Macaca fascicularis: one gene and its partner. The protein of the gene in region 1 purifies or fractionates together with the protein of each later gene. This does not show direct contact. Links are inferred from orthologs where the notes say so. Each region holds a gene or a part of one and is shown in the gene's direction. Other genes may lie near its edges.

Region 1 (3,661 bases):
TTAAAAACCTAGTAAACTCTTTTTGTCTTTTAACTTCAAGTTTAAACCTTGATTACAAAGAATGATCCTACCTCTGCTGGGAGAAGTATTATAGATAATGATCTTATTTAAATTCATTATTACCATCACATCATTTCATTATTTGTTTTTATCTGGGATCAAACTAGAATGTGAATTCCACAGGCTCAGGACCCTCTCCTATTTGTTTTTATATTCCTGTTGCCTAGCATAGGTCTTGGCATGGCAGATCCAGAAAATGGCTTATTGAGTTGATGAAGTAACTCGGTAATCTAGACATTCTTGGATCACTATGTTGGGCTTGAATTGTTTTTCCTGATAACATTTCGTTTGGCAGGAGGGTCACTTGCTATCTGCAGTAGCATCCAAAAAAACCCAATTTTCAGGATATCGTCTTGCGGTGTGTTACTGTTGTGTGCATCACAGATCATTGTTGTCAAGACATTAATGAATATCTGATTTGTTACTCACATGTGAGTACTAATGGCTTGTACCGGTGGCTTTTGCCCGTTAATAAAGGATAGCATCTGTTATCATCCGAGGTACATTCTCTTGAGAGTGTTTCTTTTTAAGTGTTACTCTCTATTTTTTTCCCCTTTTGGAATCGGTCTTTTCTTCTTAACTTACATTGTTAATGGAAGAAGAGATTGGAAGTGACTGAGATAGACTATCATTGGAACGCGAGAATGCCAGCTTTACATGCTGAAGGATCTCATTTTGCAAACTTGTAATTTCTTTCAGGAGGAGGCAAAACAGATTCAGAATCTGCAGAAAGCAGGCACTCGTACAGACTCAAGGGAGGATGAAATCTCTCCTCCTCCACCCAACCCAGTGGTTAAAGGTCGGAGGCGACGAGGTGCTATCAGCGCTGAGGTCTACACGGAGGAAGATGCCACATCATATGTTAGAAAGGTAGTTTTGATATTTGAACATCAGGGAGATGCTTTTGGGACCCATTTGGTGGTCATCTAGTCTCCTTTGATGAGTGAATCGTAAAATACAAAACGGGGTAGAACTTCATCCATCCTGTATAGTTCTTGGGTACTGGAAAACAGGTTGCTGTAATAGCATGCTGTCAGAGGAAATAACTAATAGTGATTATAAACCAGTGAATAATTGCATTTTGGGGTTTGTTATTTCCTTGCTGCTGTTGTTTTGCAGTAGAAGGAGGTGGGATTTTTTTCTTGAATCATGATGTCTGGTTTTTGCTATCCTGTTAAATGTTGTGACTTTTAACCTTTTATTCTACGAGCTTCATTTGTCCTATATTCTCTTCTTCCTCAGAGCCAGGCTGCTATTTTAATTATGCTGTTAACCTTAAATGGGAACAGAATTGTCGCACTTGAAGCTTATGAAACTAACAGATCACAGACTTTAAAATGACTAATTATTATGAAATGCTTAGTTTTGCCTCAGAATAATGACCTTGGTCAAGGTGTTTTGGTTTGTTTCTTTAGTTGTTAACTGGGAACCAGGTACCAGACTTTATATTTAGGCCTGGCTGTAGGCAAGGGGATTAATTAGTCAATATTTGTTGAGTAGTTTGTGGATCAAAGATAGTACAAGTGTGTTGTAGTGAAAATACTTAACTCGAAGCAGTCTTGTTTAAATACCATAATGTGGCTTGACATTTAATTGAAACACAGGTTGCAAACATGAAATGTTTTTGGTTTATGGAATTGTCATTTGACCTTCAATTCTTTTCTAGGTTATACCAAAAGATTACAAGACGATGGCTGCTTTAGCAAAAGCCATTGAGAAGAATGTGCTGTTTTCACATCTTGATGATAATGAGAGAAGGTAGGAACAGGCTCTTTATTAACATTATTTTTCAAGTAAGGGTGTGATCCCAAATTATTTTCAACACGTGTTGCAAGTTTTAGAACTCTTGATGATTGTTCACCAGATGACAATCAGGGGTCTTTAATACTAAGCTTAATGTTTGAAACTCATGGAAGAGACATGTGAAATGTAACATGAGGCCTTCTCTCTCTCGCAGTGATATTTTTGATGCCATGTTTTCGGTCTCCTTTATCGCAGGAGAAACTGTGATTCAGCAAGGTAAGGGCTTCTGGAGCATGCAGTATTGTTACGGGAGAGGAGGCGAGACTGGAGGATTTTTGTGGTTTTGTTTTATTGAAGTTTGTTTTCCTTGATCCTACCACTTTTTTTTTTTTTCTGTTATGCTATTGGATTTTTCTGTTTCTTTTAAATTAAAATTTTCTGAGATGGACAGAACACTTTTTATTGGGAACTAATATTTTTGATACAGTTTTGTTTATAATTTAAAGGAAATGCCTATATTGTTTTATCTTGAATGTCATATAAAATTTCAGAAGCATATATATCTCTCATGTCCTTTATATTGATTATTAATCACTTTTAAAGTAAGAAATAAATGAAACACCTAAATTCTTCATTGTATAGCTCTGTCTATTAAGAAGGTTCTAGGACTTATATAGATTTCTTACTTTGCCTACATAGACTAACATGGATCTGACTTTTTGACTATCTTCCTGTTTTTATTTTCTTATTTATTCGTGACATTTTATGAATTGTTATATATTTCCATTTTGTGGCAGCCTGATAATTTGCTATTAACTATTTGAGTTGTTTCTAATGTCCTTGTTATAGATGCCATAGCAGTTAATAACTTTGTACACATATGCAGCTTTTAACAGTTTTTTTCAGAGATGGTATTCACCGTGAGATGACTAAAAAAATTTTTGATTAATTCTGTGACTTTTAAAATATATTTTTGATTTTTTTCCCTGAAAGATTGTGTTACTTTGTAACACAGTCTTCTCTCACAGTACCACTATAAAATAAGTTTATTATTTTGTATTAATTTTGATAGTTTGTTTCTTTAGTTTGGAATATGCTTCTAACATTTTTACCCTCTTTTAGGTGATGAAGGGGATAACTTCTATGTGATTGATCAAGGAGAGACGGATGTAAGATTTACTCATATAAAAAATATGTTGATCTTAAAAGCCAATGTATTGATTGCTTCTGAGCAATAAGATTAGTGATTTTGAAGGATCATTACATCCCTTGTATGTCAGATTTTATTAATACCTTTTGCCAAGTATTTTCATGACACAGAGAAATTTTTTAAAGGTAATTTTCTGTTCAGAACTTTTGTTGGAGTGGTGGTTAAGAAGTATGTGTAGCTGGGTGCGGTGACCCATGCCTATAATCCCAGCACTTTGGGAGATGGAGGCAAGAGGGTTGCTTGAGCCCAGGAGTTCAAGACCAGTCTGGGCAACAAAGTAAAACCTCACGTCTTTAAGGAAAAAAAAAAAAAAAAAAAAAAAGGTTCTAGACCCAGCCATTAGCTAGCAAACTTCATACAGCTTTCTTATTCACAGATGAAATGGGGACAATAATAGTATTGATCTTTTAGGATTATTAGAAAATTCAGTGACCTAATGCAAGTAAAATGATTAGCATAGTGCTCACCATGGTTCTCTAAGTATCCATGACTGGTATTAGTGCTTAGCCAACCGTTTCCCCTTACATCCTTACAGAGTGCTTTTTTGTTATCGGATAATTAAATCAAGTAAATTTTTGACACTCAATTTAACTCATCAGAAATCAGCTATTCTTCTCTATTGTGTACTGCAAACATAATATATTCTAT
Region 2 (2,342 bases), on another chromosome or scaffold:
AATCATGGGAAACCAAGGAGCACCCTGTTTAGATTTCTGTTATAACTAGCAGCATCAAGTGGAATGTATGAAAGAAAAGAGGGGACTGTTTTCTCTGTGGCTTCAGGCTAGCCCTTTCCCCTCTGTAGCCTGCAGTTTCTCCATTTGCAAAATGAGGTTGGACCATATCATGTCGGCCAACACTGGGCATGAACAGCCCATCCTGTTAAGCTGTACGGTTGACTCCCCTTTCTGGTGCCTTGGCTTGTCTTTGAAATGTGCATTTGCTCCCATAGGAAGAAGATGGACTGCGGATGAGGAAGACAGTGCAGAGCAACAGCCCCATTTCAGCGCTAGCCCCAACTGGGAAGGAAGAAGGCCTTAGCACCCGGCTCTTGGCTCTGGTGGTTTTGTTCTTTATTGTTGGTGTAATTATTGGGAAGATTGCCTTGTAGAGGTAGCATGCACAGGATGGTAAATTGGATTGATGGATCCACCATATCATGGGATTTAAATTTATCATAACCATGTGTAAAAAGAAATTAATGTATGATGACATCTCACAGGTCTTGCCTTTAAATTACCCCTCCCTGCACACACATACACAGATACACACACACAAATATAATGTAACAATCTTTTAGAAAGTTAAAAATGTATAGTAACTGATTGTGGGGGGAAGAATGATCTTTATTAATGACAAGGGAAACCATGAGTAATGTCACAATGGCATATTGTAAATGTCATTTTAAACATTGGTAGGCCTTGGTACATGATGCTGGATTACCTCTCTTAAAATGACACTCTTCCTCGCCTGTTGGTGCTGGCCCGTGGGGAGCTGGAGCCCAGCGTGGTGGGGAGTGAGGTCATCTCCACACAGTAGTCCCCACGTGGCCCACTCCCGGCCCAGGCTGCTTTCCATGTCTTCAGTTCTGTCCAAGCCATCAGCTCCTTGGGACTGATGAACAGAGTCAGAAGCCCAAAGGAATTGCACTGTGGCAGCATCAGACGTACTCGTCATAAGTGAGAGGCGTGTGTTGACTGATTGACCCAGCGCTTTGGAAATAAATGGCAGTGCTTTGTTCTCTTAAAGGGACCAAGCTAAATTTTTATTGGTTCATGTAGTGAAGTTGAACTGTTATTCAGAGATGTTTAATGCATATTTAACTTATTTAATGTATTTCATCTCATGTTTTCTTATTGTCACAAGAGTACAGTTAATGCTGTGTGCTGCCAAACTCTGGTGGGTGAACTGGTATTGCTGCTGGAGGTCTGTGGGCTCCTCTGTCTCTGGAGAGTCTGGTCATGTGGAGGTGGGGTTTATTGGAATGTTGGAGAAGAGCTGTCAGGAAGTGTTTTTCTGGGTCAGTAAATAACAACTGTCATAGGGAGGGAAATTCTCTGTAGTGACAGTCAACTCTAGGTTACCTTTTTTAATGAAGAGTAGTCAGTATTCTAGATTGTTCTTATACCACCTCTCAACCATTACTCATACTTTTAGCACCCAGGCCCAAGTCTGAGCCTAACCTCTCCTTGGGGACCTAGCTTGGAGTCAGGACGAATGGATCGGGGTGCAGAAGGTTAGAATCGAGGGCACCAGCAGTTGGGGGTGGGGAGCAGTGGGAGAGAGAGACTCTTCAGCTAATCCTTCTAGTACTAGTTGAGAGTTTGACTGTGAATTAATTTTATGCCATAAAAGACCAATCCAGTTCTGTTTGACTATGTAGCATCTTGAAAAGAAAAATTATAATAAAGCCCCAAAATTAAGAATTCTTTTGTCATTTTGTCACATTTGCTTTATGGGGGGAATTATTTTATCATTTTTATTATTTTGCCATTGGAAGGTTGACTTTAAAATGAGCTCTATCACTGGGAAATATGTGTTTCATGATTTAAATGTACGTGTGTGTGTGTGTATATATATATATATATATTTTTTTTTTTGGTTGTCTTCAGCTGACAGTATGAAAAATAAAACTGCTGAAAAAGCTGAGCACCTGGTCACCCTTGGCCTTCCATTGCTTTGGCCTTCAGTAAAAAGCAGCCTCGCTTCTAGGTCAGGGAACCATGCCATTGAGACTAGTAACAGGCGTTCTGGGCACAGTCCCACTGTGCACAGGTTTGAGAGGACAAGTTCATCAGAAGGAAGGCAGTCCTTAGAAGTCACATACATCAAGCCACATTGCTCCTAAGCCTGGCTGTGTTAAGCTGGGTCAGGTGCCTTGAAACAGGAGGAGTGGAAGTCTGTGGTTGGTGAGTAAGGAACTTCCTGTCTTCATGAAAAAAGTTGACTTTGAATCCCAGGTACTCACAGAAATGGTGAGCAGACTTAGTTGTTACCCAGGCACCCATGGATTGCGTTG

The links. Proteins that work in one complex are often made in the same cells at the same time.
Region 2: the proteins of PRKAR1A (region 1) and VAPB purify together in Homo sapiens (affinity purification with mass spectrometry; 3 studies listed by BioGRID and IntAct, counting the BioPlex papers as one, with this or other methods). This does not show direct contact. The link is inferred for Macaca fascicularis from reciprocal best matches to the Homo sapiens genes PRKAR1A and VAPB.

What each region holds. Positions count from the first base shown.
Region 1 is NC_088390.1:74,878,062-74,881,722, forward strand, and holds part of PRKAR1A (cAMP-dependent protein kinase type I-alpha regulatory subunit), read left to right. Parts: intron 1-759; coding exon 760-930; intron 931-1,726; coding exon 1,727-1,818; intron 1,819-2,017; coding exon 2,018-2,079; intron 2,080-2,925; coding exon 2,926-2,972; intron 2,973-3,661. UniProt on the Homo sapiens protein: Regulatory subunit of the cAMP-dependent protein kinases involved in cAMP signaling in cells.
Region 2 is NC_088384.1:114,511,577-114,513,918, forward strand, and holds the end of VAPB (vesicle-associated membrane protein-associated protein B/C), read left to right. Parts: intron 1-275; coding exon 276-434; 3' UTR 435-1,749; downstream 1,750-2,342. UniProt on the Homo sapiens protein: Endoplasmic reticulum (ER)-anchored protein that mediates the formation of contact sites between the ER and endosomes via interaction with FFAT motif-containing proteins such as STARD3 or WDR44.